2 linked regions of the Caenorhabditis elegans genome follow. The protein of the gene in region 2 interacts with the protein of the main gene of each other region in a pairwise test. Each region holds a gene or a part of one and is shown on either strand. Other genes may lie near its edges.

The links. The genes of interacting proteins can lie anywhere in the genome.
Region 1: the proteins of C18B2.5 (region 2) and F49E2.2 interact in a two-hybrid assay, tested with the Caenorhabditis elegans proteins (one large-scale study listed by BioGRID).

What each region holds. Positions count from the first base shown.
Region 1 is NC_003284.9:9,565,358-9,573,309, forward strand, and holds the start of F49E2.2 (SH3 domain-containing protein), read left to right. Parts: upstream 1-1,938; coding exon 1,939-2,071; intron 2,072-3,425; exon of another isoform or gene 3,426-3,550; intron 3,551-3,678; exon of another isoform or gene 3,679-3,699; intron 3,700-4,021; coding exon 4,022-4,153; intron 4,154-4,193; coding exon 4,194-4,244; intron 4,245-4,880; coding exon 4,881-5,032; intron 5,033-5,084; coding exon 5,085-5,323; intron 5,324-5,406; coding exon 5,407-5,590; intron 5,591-5,632; coding exon 5,633-5,779; intron 5,780-6,722; coding exon 6,723-6,890; intron 6,891-6,961; coding exon 6,962-7,099; intron 7,100-7,149; coding exon 7,150-7,244; intron 7,245-7,288; coding exon 7,289-7,481; intron 7,482-7,952. Other genes in the region: moc-5 (GTP 3',8-cyclase), read right to left, coding at 1-29, 87-351, 458-622.
Region 2 is NC_003284.9:3,606,364-3,612,655, forward strand, and holds C18B2.5 (G domain-containing protein), read right to left. Parts: upstream 4,730-6,292; 5' UTR 4,728-4,729; coding exon 4,635-4,727; intron 4,577-4,634; coding exon 4,517-4,576; intron 4,467-4,516; coding exon 4,317-4,466; intron 4,270-4,316; coding exon 4,027-4,269; intron 3,979-4,026; coding exon 3,901-3,978; intron 3,836-3,900; coding exon 3,742-3,835; intron 3,466-3,741; coding exon 3,299-3,465; intron 3,246-3,298; coding exon 2,939-3,245; intron 2,232-2,938; coding exon 2,149-2,231; intron 2,094-2,148; coding exon 1,870-2,093; intron 1,814-1,869; coding exon 1,651-1,813; intron 1,605-1,650; coding exon 1,269-1,604; intron 618-1,268; coding exon 516-617; downstream 1-515.

The sequences.
Region 1 (7,952 bases), 6.0 Mb from region 2:
TTTGATTCCTGGAGTAGATGAGATCCCTTCTGTAATTGAATATGCCATGTTTCTCCACTGAAGTCATATTTCTACAATAAACTCACCAACAATATGCACAATATCCTTTCTAATAGTCGGTTCACCTCCTGTCAGTCTAACTTTGTCAACGCCATGTGCAGCGAATAACTTTACAAGTCTTAATACTTCACTGTTTGAGAGCATTTTGTCTTTGGGCTTGAGAGGAACACCTTCGGCTGGCATGCAGTAAAGACAACGGAAGTTGCATTTTTCCGTTAGCGATATCCTCAAATAAGTGTGCTCTCTCATAAACATGTCAAAAAATGGTGGCTGGCCTTTTGTGTGTTCAATCTGAAATTGAACGATGAACGACAAGTGAACTTTCAGAATTTTCTTATATTTTCTTATCTCTTTCTCTGATTTCTGAAGCTCATTTGCACAATATGTTTAAGAATACCTCTTGAATTTTTAGTCTGACTGCTTCTCTTTTTTGTTCGGGCGTCAACGTGAGTATTGGTTCGGCATGTTCTCGTAATGGAACAGTTAGTTGTTTTACAATTTCTTCTGTTGACGACTTGACCCGTGACCATTGAAATAACTTTTTTCCTGCTCGACAACTCATCTGTAATATTTATATCAAAACACTTTTAAAAATGCGGTGCGATTAATTTATTGATTAGGAATTGAGAAAAAAAACAAAACCTAGAGAAAAGGTGTAAAGTAAACTCCAAGCAGCACATTGTGGCTCTCACGCTCAAACATAAATCGTGGGCGTTGAAACCATAGAAAATGCAAAACGGAACAACGGGAATGTTTTGTCATCATACAGGTTGATGGGCACTCTACTCTGCATTGGTGATTTGCAATTCAATTCCGAAAAGTGATTTTTGTGTCGACGAAGGAGAAAACGAACGTGTTGCAGAGAACAAAAAGAAAAAGAGGGATAGAGGCTCAGGAATTTTGGACTTTATATATCAGGAAATGTATTTTTAATGAAAATGAAATATCATGATTCGGTCTAACGATTTGAAAAACTCAGTAACTTTTGAATGTCAATAAAAAATTTTTATTCCAGCTGTTGAAAAGTGTTACTATTCTATTTGATCATTTTGGCATTTTATGGATAATTTTTAACAATTTTCTTACTGTCGCTACTCCACCTTAATTAATTTCTGATGCAAGTTATTAATTTCTGATGCAAGTTATCAATGTCTGATTTTCAAATGGTTCGTGAAAATAAATCGAGGTTTTATCATTATCTTTTAATCAATATGATTCTGACGCTAGAAACACAATATTTCTGGAAGAGACAACAACATTGTTTGTCAAAAGATAAACAAGCGAATATATTTCAGAACATTTGTGTGCTCTTGACTATCATTTCCTCATAGTTTCTAAATCAGAAGGAGTGTTGCCATTATGAGTAAGTTAAATACCGTGTCCCAAAAATATAGTGTACTCATAAACCCCTTTTTTTAAAGTTGTCACGTCCTCCAAGTGTCCCATCTTCCAAACATCTCTATTTCTCTCTGTCTTTCTTTCTGACGTGTCTTTTTAACTCTTTTGGTGACCCCTGTAATTTGTACATTGTATAATAAAGCATAGACTATTTGAGACAGAGAGAGCGATGTGAAAAGGGCACTTGATACAACGTAAAAAAAATTGTTACAGCTGGCATCTTCAATCTGGGCGCTCGACGATCTTCGCTGATTGGGATGAAACTATGGAGATGGAGAGGTGAGGATTTTTGGGGTAAAAATATTCAATCAATTTAAGTGACTCATACAAACACAAAAAAATCATGTTATCAAAATCCATTCAATAATAAAATTGCAAAAAATAAATACGGAATGTTCCAATCTGCCTCCCTCATTCCCATCCCATTCCATTCTTTTGTTCTGTTTGTCCTGGTTTTCATCGAAATATTGATAAACTCCAATGGAATCTGCAACTGACGAGTTTTACTACCAATCTCGCATTCCACCACAGCCATCCCCTTTACCAGCTCAAACTCTTGAAATTAACGGTCACAAATATGTTCTCAATCATCGTTTCAAGAGTATCAAGATTGGTAAGTATGGTTATACGTCCGAGTGATTGGCAAACGACCTCGGGATACATACGTTTTGTTAGCCGGATAGTTACGACGTGTTTTTTTGGAGGGAGAAGACGAACGGAATAGAAAACTTAGACATTAGTCATGCTTGTCAGTTGTGTCGCGCGTCTCTTTGTGCCAAAAAACTTCGCCACATGTTAAAAGGTTGGTCAACTTTTGTTTGTATCGAGGGAAATACTGAACTTAAATGCAACATTAATATTTTCATAGAATAAAATGTAAGTATTAGTTTCAAAAAGTTACATTTTAAAGCTTTATAATTTGCAGCTCAATTTATATTTTCAAATATCTCTGAGAAGCATGTGAAAATATAACTTTCATTTTGAGGTGTTCGTAACATTATATAAGTTCTCGTCTTCTGAACACTACCTAGAAATTTAATATATTGTTGGAATTGGAGTTGGAAATGTTGGAAATCATGTGGGGATGCCCGAATGTAGGTGTCCCTGTAAGACAAAACTAGGCAAATCAATAAACACGATTTTTTAAGTGATAATGTGTATGTATTGTAGCTTTTACTTGTGAATTAATTTCATAAGCAACTTAACTTAACTGTGCTAGTGGTATTTTTTGTTTAGTTACATTTTCCTAACAATGATACACTTATTTTGATTGAGCAAGATGCTCAACATATTTCTACTGTCTTTGATGTTTCACATGTATAACGCAAATTTTGAACATACATGTTCAAAAAATCATTATTTACTCACTTATTAACAACATTGGTATGACAATGTAATTTAAATTGCGGTATATTAAATCAATAATTTTTTATGGTTTAAAATAAGTTTTGAGTTTTGACTACTTCTCTAAATTTTGAATAAATTACAAAACGAGTTACTTGTAAAGATGCCGATCAACTTTTGTAGCACAATAATTAAAGTTGTCCTGTACTTTATTCATAGCTTTATTTAATTCTAAACAAATTTTATTTTACTTCACGGGTCAGTGTTCAGAATTGAAACAATTAAAACAAACTAGAGTTCAATGTTTTACTAATAACACTCACTATCAGGTTTCTTTACAAGCTTAAACGATGCGTTTTTTATATTTTTATATTATTTAATTTCAAATTATTCAAATGTTGTTCAAAAAGTTGCATACGGCTTGTCATTTTTTTTTGTCAGATGTCACCATTCTCTGTTGTCACGCTCTTAAAATTGATAGTGTCAAAATGTCAACAGTATTTCTTCACACAATCAGAATAGTCGCTTCAGAATGGCACAAAAACTTAAAGTAGGCGGCGATTTTTGGTTTTGTTTCACACTCTCCCAATCTGCCAGGTTTCTCGCCGCTTGGCGCCGATGCCCGGGTAATGTACATAATCAAACGCACGCAGCATACCAAAGTCGGGGCTCTTATCACTTGCACAACGCTTTTTCAATAGGTGCCTGCCGCACTGCGTCGTTTCATGAACTTGGTTGTACGCTCGCCTCATTTTCTTATAGAGTGTACACTGTTTTAGGCGTTTTGCCGGCATAATGGCCATTATTTTACTCCAAAAATGAAATATTTTTTGTTTCATTCCTTTCTTATGACACATGTTGCGGTGATAACCATAATCGTTATGATGGAAAGTGGAATTCAGGAATGTTGGCAAACAAAATGACTTTATAACACTATTTCTTCAAAAAATATAGATATTTGTGTTTTATTGATTTAGGTTCACCGTCTTAGGGTTTTTTTAAGTTCTATAACTTGTTTAGTTGTATATTTTTTATAATATTTAGTGTCGCATGCCTTTAGCAATTAACAATATCAATAAAGAAAGTTTCTCGGATGGCAAAAGCGTTATCTACAACAGACCAACCCTGCCCATAAAATATTATAAAACTTTTCCCGCAAAAGTAGTGCATTACTTATGAAAATTGAATGTCAAACAGTTTGCAAAAAGTTGGTTTTCAGTCTCTCATCGGTATCCACCAATCATCCCGATGTCGGTCGACGAACAAGCGGTACCACCGGAGGTTTCGCCTTCAATGGCTGCCAACATTCCACAGATGGTCCACGATCAGCTAGCCGCACAGTTTTTGCCAGGTACCTCTTGTTTAGGTTAACATACACAACAAAATTTCAGCGGCAAAAAATCTTGGGCAAGCCGGAATGCATCTACTGAAAACATATTACAGTAAGTATTTTTGATCAGAAAACAATAAGTTCTCTTACACAGTATTCTTTCTATGCTTTTGTTGTATTTTAAAAAACCTGAGAATGCCTAAATTGTGGCTCGAAAATAGCGGCAACAGGGAAAACAATCGGCGAAGAAAGATATAGGTTCCTTCGCTACGAGATATTCCCGCGCCAAAACGGTAGGCACTCTCATGATCTCATGGTTTCTTAATATTGTAAGAGATGAGAAGTAAAAAAAATTAGAAAACGTTACTGCAAAAAGTTGGCAAATATACGTTGAAAGTATTATAGTTATCATGGTCGGGACGGTTTGTAACAATGGCTCAATAATGTGAATAAAATATACTCAGCTCATCCCATTTCTGTGTTAATAATTTGTTTATAACTCAATTCAGTTTGTATCGCAACACATGAAAACATGTGTAGTTGAAAGACGCATTCATAGAACTCGAGTTTTATATTTTCATAGTTTGTGCCTAAAAATTCAATGACAAAAACTATATTTTTTGTGAGAGTGGAAATTGAAACATTTTCGTTTGCAATCCATATCAATGTAGGTCAAGAAAAATAGCTTTTCAATAATCACATCAAGTTTTCAAGATGACAAGAGTATATAAAAATTTGCAATTTTCAGTGTTCCAAGAAGCATTGTCAAACTATTGTGATGCCACTCACAAACTTATCAAATCAGCTGATACTGCTGGACACAAATCGAAAAATGAAGCTCGAGAGCTTTCAAAAGTTTTTAAAGAGTTTGTACAGGGAGTAAATGCTCATCAAAAAGTCGTAAGCATCAATCTAAAGAAAAGTTTCGCATTCAATATATAATTAAACATAGATTACGGAATTTGACGCGCTGGCACACAAAGTTCATGACTATAGCAACAAGGAAAAAGACAAGCTGAAGACAGAATTTGCTGAGTACAAAGCAAAAGAAAAAAAACTTCTGAAACGCAAAAATGGAGAAACTGAACAAGATATTACCGCGTTCCATAAAAAAGAAGCAGCCAGCTGGGCAAAACAACAGGAAATGAGATACAAATTTTTCAATGACAAGCTGCAATCCTGGATTCACGGGTGAGTTAAATGTAATTAGAATTGTGAAAATAGCAACATTAATTCAATTTCTGGAAAAAAAAACTCTCATAAAATATTATCAGATACGTCGAAATTGGGAAATTATTCCAAGCCCAAGAAGTGATTGTTCAGCCAGCAGTTGGGAGTGTGATCGCTGCACCGGTTGAAATTGAGACCATACCAGAAGACCACAAAGATTGGCATCAAGATTTACATGAGCATGCCGCCGTTGTTGCAGCTGAGGAAATTAAAGAGAATGTTGAAAAGGTAAAACACAATTTAATGCGTGTATATCATATTAAATTTCAGAAAGTAGATGAAGCTGTACAGGACAGCCGCAGCAATTCGACTTCATCGGTTGCAACAACGCTAGAGGATCTTCCATCTTCTCGTCGTCTCACAAATGACGTTTCCGGAGTCACACTGGTTAGTAATTATCGCCGTCAATCAATTGAGGTTAGTTGAGGACTAATATGTCATGTGAAGAAATGTTTCAAAGTTGTTATAAGTCAATATTGTGTATAAACAATAGGTCATAGTTACATTAAATCACGTACATAAAACTTATAATACATACGTTTCATTTTGTATTAAAAAAAAAGAACACTCACATTTTCAAAGTTTATTACTATGTGTAAGCCATCGGACTAGTTGTAGGATACTTAAAATTTGAACTGTTGAAGCAAGGAGGTATTCAAAATTTCTCCTATTTTGAAAAATTCGCATCTGCAATAACACTATTTTTTAATGTTTGTATAATGTCCGCATGTGCTATTAAATTATCTAGGATAAAAATCAATAAAAAACGCAACATTTTGAATTTTAATTTAGATTAAAATCAGTTTATTTATTCATAGTTAAGCCTGCATGAACTTTCAATCAGCAACACAGTGTTTTCAAAATTTAACAATAGAATTCAAAAATGTTTGTAAACATCGAAGCAAAAGTCTTTAATCGAAAAAAGAAATATTAGCATCGTTTTGTCAATTAGATTTTATTGAGTTTTCACTTTGGTTTTGAAATCTTGGCAATCTTTCTATCACGTTTTAGAAATGTTACGCGAATTTTAAAAGGCTGACTGAAGAACAACTATTTTCACGTGTTACATAATTATCAAAATTTTTTCGTAACAACTTCACGTGTTTGTTTAATGGTAGAATAGCGACGTATGAATAGTTGCTCTATTTGACTCAAAATTACCTCACATAACATTACTATATTTTATTTAATCTTTCACATAAAGTTTTTATCAAAGATTTGAACTGCAGTAAAAACATTTCATATTCTTATTATGTATTCACAACGTGCCCCGAATTAAAATACCATGCATTGGTTTTTACAAACAGTAAATGCAACTGGTTTATTTCGAAGAAAAATTTAATTGCCGTATTAATTTCAGATTCAACAACTTCCACCCAACAACAGCTACTCCCACATTGCTCCACCAGTCTTGCCGCCAAAACCAGTTGTCGAAAACCCCCAATATGCTCCGATTCGCGCTCAACCAGTTCCAGTCACACGCCAGGAGGAGAGCACATACGCCCCTCGTCATAATGTTGTCGCCGAGGTAAGCATCTGGTGTAATCATCTTTTCACTCGCTATTATTTGTCCATTTTGATAAAACTATGCGTTTCCAGCAAGTGCCTCAACAGCCGGTTAATAGCGCTCCAGGTGGTGTCCGCCGTGCTGGAAACACAATTCCAGGTGCTGTTAATGTTTTCGGATTTGCAAATCAATCAAATCCTCAGCCAAATGTCCGCTACACGCCTGTTCAGGTAAAAACTATTCGTGTAATTTTCAATTTTCAAGTGTGATAATCCTTCAGAATAGCACGCCTTATCAAGTTGTTACCAGCGATTATATTCGCGTTGGGAGAGTCGTCGATAATCCAGTGACAGAGGAGCAAATGAATGCTAAAAAGTGAGTACTCACAAGAAATTTGAAAAAAAGAACGACATATTCAGATTCCACGTGGATTCTAGTTACCTTCCAATGGCTGCTCCATCTCACCAAGCACAACAACACAGTCGCAATCATAGTACAGATATTTCGGTTCCATCATTCTTCAACCCATCACAATATGGAAGTATTCTGATTGTTAACGATGATTTCAATGCTTCTTCCGGAGAACAGATGACTGTGAATCGTGGAGACAAGGTACCAAAAACTTTCTAAATAATTTTGAAAAATTAAACTAAAACTTGTTACTTTTTGTGACGTCAAGAAGAAAACAAAAAGAATATAAAACTTTCAAGCAAAACGGCAAACCGATAAAATTTCTAACAACAGACCGGTGCCCTAAAAAAGTGGTAACATTTGCCTGTATCAATATTTTAATTTGACACTATTATAGGATTTGAAAGCCTACATGAGTAGAGTTTCATGAATGTTTTTTTTAATCAAAATCAATTTAAGGTTATTAATTTTTTATCAAAAAAATCTTAGCATTGGTTCGAGATATTTAATTTATGGAATTCGTTTTTACATTCAAACAAGTCCTTACTGAACATTTGTCTAACAGGCTCTTTGTAATATTTAGTATTGAATTAGAGAATACTTGCAAAACATAGTGTAGTTGAAAACTATGTTGATGTTGTTCTTTGTTAGATATTTTGAAACATGCATTAG
Region 2 (6,292 bases):
ACATTATTATCCGGCCTAAGCTCCAAAAAGTTCGAATGTTATGTTCACAATTTTAATTCACTTTAAAATGAGTATCATCATTTGCTTTGAATTTTAAGGAACTTTTGAAAGTGATAGTATCTATCAATCTAGGCTTTCTCTGTACACTTTGAAAATTAAAATTTCCTGAAATTCGTTTTATACACTAGGTAATCATATTTGTAAAACTTGACACTTGTAATAGCGTTCCTCTTAACTGATATGTCGAAATTTCTAGAATTTCCTATAATATTATTTGTATTTTTGATTTAAATATCAATGAACAATATTATTCTGCCAAAAATTATATTAGTTCCTTAGCGAAAAGAAATGAAGCTGAAAAACAAAAAAAACGATTGATAGGGAATGTTTATCGAGTCGCGTTGGATAAAAATGTTAAGTCGAACAATAAATACAAAATGAGTGGATCGGAGATTAAATTGAAACCATTGAATCAGAAAACACAAATAATAATACTAATAATAATAAATTGTTTTTTAATACAACACTTTATCAGCAAACACTGGAGCTTGTTCGACTTTTTGTCCCTTGTTGTGTCGGAGGATGGCAACTAGTGGGTGGACAGTTTCTTGCAAATCCTGAAGTGAAAGATTTAATAAGGTAGTTTCAGAAGCATAGATAATAAGCTGACCTATCAAAACCGCAAAAATTAATATCATCTCTCACATTCGAACATTATTAATACAATTTTGAAAAGTGAGTTAATATGAGTTAAAAACTTGATATGAAAAAAGCTTAGAACTAAACCGAAAACAAAAATATATAAATATGTTTAAAAAAATTATTTAAATGTTCATAAGCACATTTGAAAAATTTTATGTCATAATTACTATAAAAACCGGAATAGTTTTCATGGAAAGTTTTCTATTTTGAATATTTGAAAGCCTTCCCATACATATGAAATAAATTAAAATTATGCTGAAGTTGGAGTTCAAAATATGTTAAAGTTTCATCAGATACAGTTTTTTCTGCATACGTTTTTCAATATAAGTTTGAATTGAATTTGATCCCGGACGGGTTGAAAAATAATCTTGAGACGCCTCAATTTATACTTATGTTCTTTGCTTTCATGTGATGATTTTTGAAAGATGATTTTTGAAAGCCAAAATTACTTTTCAAATAAAGTGTACTATTTTCAGTTATTTTCAACTAAACCGAGTTAAATACGCAGACTGAGACACCTAGTATTTTCAGTTTTAAATTTCACTTCCCCAACCCATAATATTTACTCTGAAAAGATTCTCCAACGAAGCTGTTCCGTGTGTCCAGTAGAGATTATGTTGAAGTTTGGAAATTCCTGTTGGGAGTGGTGCGAATCCCGAGTTGTTAACTTTGTAGTATTCAAGGAAAGAAATGTTGGCCTGTGTGAGACTTTTGATGGCAATTGGCTGTGGGAGAACTTCAGAGTTGGTGATAATCGGCAGAACGTTTGTTTTCAAATCGTCTCCGAACATTCTCTTAACATCAGCCAACTCATAAATGAACGGCCATCCCAGTTGATTCTCGTCGTGTCTCAAAACAATTGAGATTGCATCAAGACGGAAGGATCCAGATTTGAGAAGCTCCTAAAACGTGAAATTTAGAATTTTTTGCAAAGTTTCAATAGTTCACCTTCTCAAACCACTGCTTGATAAGTCGCGAGACCGTCTTGTTGCCCATTTTGTCCTCAACCCCGGGTGTGTCAACAACAGTGACGTTATAAGGAAGAACAGTGTTGTTGAAAACGTAGGCGGTGAGTCCAGTGGTTGCGTTCACATGCTCGTCCAAAACAAATCTGAAAAAAGAAGAATAATGAACATTATAACATTGAAAATTAAAAAATTAAGTTACCGGAAATCATTCTCCTTCTTAACATCATACAAATAGTTCATCATGCTGGTAATAGCAGAAGTCTTTCCAGAATTAACTGGACCGAACAGGAGCAGAGTCTTGTCATCGTCACTTGGTGGAGCATCTCCTCCAATGATAACCTTGTTGATCTTGTCATTCTTGGAGAAGTTTTCAACAACATAGTATTGTGGAACAACGAGCTCGTATTTTCCGCTGCTTGCAATCTAATAATTTTTAAGAATATTAAAATAATTTTCATATGAAAAATAAATGACTTACATGTTCTCCTGCTGCCTTTTGTTTAGCAGCTAGTGGGCTGACACGAGCTTCCTCCTCTTCGTAGATGCTTGAGTCCACGCTCTCTTAAATATTCGATATACGCAATAGAAAATTTAAATAATATGTTTTACATAGAAGTTCGCACAGAAAACGTTGATTGTACTCAGAAAATTGAACAAACAGAAAATTGAAAACTGCCACACATTTTTGCAGGTGCATGGTTTTTTTTCTTTTAAATAATTTATACACTTTTGTAGAGTGTGTGCAGTACACCTGGCCCGAAAGTTTTAACCATTTTAAAAATGTTCGTGATTTTTTTAAATCTACATTAGGCATGGGATTAGTGTTTCCTGAGCTTAAAAATGCAAATGTAGTTCAAGTTTTGATTATATTATCATTTTTGAAAGAAACGACTGAAAGCGTATTGGATAATAGTTTTGGGTATGGTATACTACACAAGTTCCTCTAGAGCATTGTGATCTTTTCGGAAGTGTTTTGGAAAGCCTCAAACTTTTGTAAAGCTTCTAACATTTTTGAAAGATTTGAAACAATTTTACACTTTCAAAAAAAAAAAAACTATCACGGTTATGTCAGCAAACCGCAACCTCTTCAAAAGCTCTATATCAAATTTTACGAAAACTACAGTAATCCTACCGTACTCCTGCAGTACTCCTACGGTACACTCACTTCGACCTCAGAAAAATGAAGCCTGATTATCTTGTTATTTTGGCAAGTTTGAGTGTTTGTTAAGACCGTGTTTATAAGTCTAATTAAATTCTCTAAAACTTACTTGAAGAATGGCTGGATTTCGGCTGTGGCGGCAAATGATGATGATCGTGCTCATGGCTGTACGAGCGAACGTGGTAGCCTTGTGGCTTCGCACCTTGTCCAATTTTGTTGACCTTCAATGAAGCTTCACGAGCCAAATTAGCATGAGTCATGCGGTCATTGTCAGCGCGTTGACGGTCAACTTGATGAGAGAGCTGAGCTTTTTTCGCGTGAGCATCTTCAACTTGGCGTTGAAGATTTCTCAGCTTCTGGGTTCCACCAGTGTGGAACGAAGCTTGGGTATGGGAAGAGTACACACTTCCTGGTGACTGTAAAAAGACTTTATTAATGATAATGAAGATTTTTTTGATAATTTTCTCACGCTGAGCTCAGAACGTGGGCGTTCATATGCCACTTCGTCATGATGAAGGTTGATTTCTTCACCATGGTAACGGTCATGCTCATCGTGAACATCGAATTGTCCGAAACGGCTTTCAGCAAACGATGCGGAGCTATCGATGGTGTTGGAACGATCACGGTGTGGTTGTGCTAAAATAACTTTTTTAAACATACATTGATTATATGCAACTTTTTTTAAAACTAACTAGTACTATTTCGGATACACTTACGACCCGCTTGAGTATAAAAATAGTCAAACATTTTTGAGCAGACAAGAGTATGACTAGTTATGTTCAATGTGCATAACAAAAGCCTACACCACTGTTCACTCCTCAATAACTGACTCATAGCAGAAATATGACCGTTGCAACTTATTTACATGCTTCTACAATTTTTTTTATTTCCGTCTTGAAAAGTGACACTCACCCGTTCTGATTGGATATTGATGATTCAGATTGAAGTGGTCACTTCTCTCGTCTTCATAATCCGGCTGCGGCTCAGATCCGTAGGCGTCGTAGTGCTGAAAATTACGAACTTACTTTGAATTCAAAACAATCTATTTTCAACACAATGCAAATAACTTGCATAGCTTTGAGAATTGATATTCAAATCGTTGAAAACATTGTTCACGACGAGACTTCCAGTTCGTGCAGCGGCATGCCTCTAAAACGGACCAACTTACCCGAATAGTTCCTAAAAATTGAAATTTACCTTGGCAGATCCGTTTGACACTACGCTTGCGTTTTGTGGGTGATGTTCGCTTGCATACTGATTTCTGTGCGAGCTAACATGAGATGTAACATGTGACGAGCTCACATGGCTTGGAGCTTGAAATGGTGGCTCACTGACGATGGACTCGTGATCCTCACCATACAAAGCTTCGTCGAGATGACGGAGAGCATCGTCATGTCCTCCGTGCAAGTTGACAGTTGGCAGTGTCACAGCGGAAAAGACCTTTAAAACGTTGTTGTGAAAAGTGGTTCAGTTAAAAATATAGTTACCGAGTTCATCAAATCGTCATTCACTGGAGTTGCATCGTAGTAATGCGAAATTGGGGTGACATTGACTGGTGGTGGTGGAGGTGCAGATACTGCATGTGGTGGATGGGACACCACAGTTGATGTCGCATGTGATCGGATTCCGTTTCCAATCTGGAAAAGTTTACAAGTATTATGAGCTCTATACCATAATGAACTCTTACCGGAACCTCTCTCACAGTGGATACACTCGAAGCAGTTGTCTTGCGGCTTCTATTTCCAGACTGAAATTATTTTCAAAATTTATTGGAAATACAAAAATTCTGCGAAATTTTTGGTTACCTCGGAAGATTTCACGTTGGTGGCAGATGTCAACGCTGGAAGGTTGCCAAAGACGTCATCCAAGTTGATGCTGACAGCCGTGCTTCGCGACATGTCTGTACAAAAGACACAATAATAGGAGTTGTTAAATTGTGGGAATGGAAAAATCGAGAACGATAAACAGTGAGAATTAAGAAAAATAGCAAAACAAACTTATGCTACATATAAAATATGATTATTTCTGCAAACTTTGCTCAACTATCATCAAAGACAAACCATTCCTATTGTACTCCCCGTGAAATTATATTTGAAACAGAAAAACCTGGCTGAAAACGGAGATGATTGACCGTGACGAAAGATCGGTAAAAGGCAAATTGCACGGTGTAATGGAGTGCAAAGACAGAAATGGCAGAGCACTGCTTAAAAGTTTCCTGTCAAACCGTGTCGCTTATCAATGCGTGCCACGCATTACACCTTCTCGCGTCAGGCGCCAAAAACGTATTGTATATGCAGCTAACAACCGTAACAATGGAACGAGAGTATTGACGAGTTAAATCAAAATAAAAAATCGGTGGAGAGCGCTGAACTGAACTGAGAGTGAGAGGGGATAAAAACAAAGTTCGCGTGTTGTTTGCCGAGACTAGCAGATGGTTGGGTTTTATTTCTACAAAAATGAGTAGATGCCATCATAATTTTGGAACGGGTCAAATTTTACAATACATCCCAATTGAAGGACATAATAGTTTACAGTTTAATTTGACTAGAAAATGGAACGAAAGTTCTTAAGATACAATCTTTTAGTGAAAAAAAAATCAGTTTCCAAGGCATTCCTCGATTTGAATCCAAAATAGATTTAAGAAAACTTTTTTGTTTTACCTGAAAGTTCAAAAGTTCAAAAAAAAAGAAAAGAAAACATAGCTTCATTATTCTTTCAAAAATTGAAAATGTAAAGAGTGGAATTTCTTCTTTGTGATAAGTTTCTTTCCAGTTATAGAACCCTGAAAAAACATGATAAACCACACGCATATCAATTCTCTGCCAGTTAAGTTTCAGGACTGTTTGCTCGCATGTAAAGGACTGAACACATTATTGCTTTTATTGAGAACAACATTGCATAAGATTGAATACTTTTGAAAAGAGGGGAAAAAAGAGATGCTGAACAAAAAAACGTGAACTGAAATTGGAAGAAAAAGGTGAAACCCATCAAATACATGTCTAGCGGAGGAAGGTTGGAAAAAAATACAAGCGAAAACAATTGAAAAATGAATAAGATTCTCCCGAGTTGATACCTTGCATTTGCGCATTTTTTTTTGATAGAAAATGTGTTTAATAATCTAGCATGAGAACACAATTATTTAAAAAAAAAAAACTCAACAAAAAAAATTAAGACCATGGTTCTTAATTTTTAGGTACCCAATGAGTAAGCACTTTGTTTCAAAAAAACGCAGGATTTTTTTTAGTTTTGAGTTCAATTAAAATAAATTATAATTTCAAAACAAAACGGTTCCATAGGAAAAAAGTTATTTTCACAATTGCTTTCGTTGGTCATAATTTTATTAGAAAATAAATTCAGTTTCAAATTTTTCAAAGGAATACTAACAAGCCGTGGTGATGACGAATAATGTAAAAATGACCTGAAATGAAAAAATGTGCTGAACAAAAACAAATTCAAAAATTTT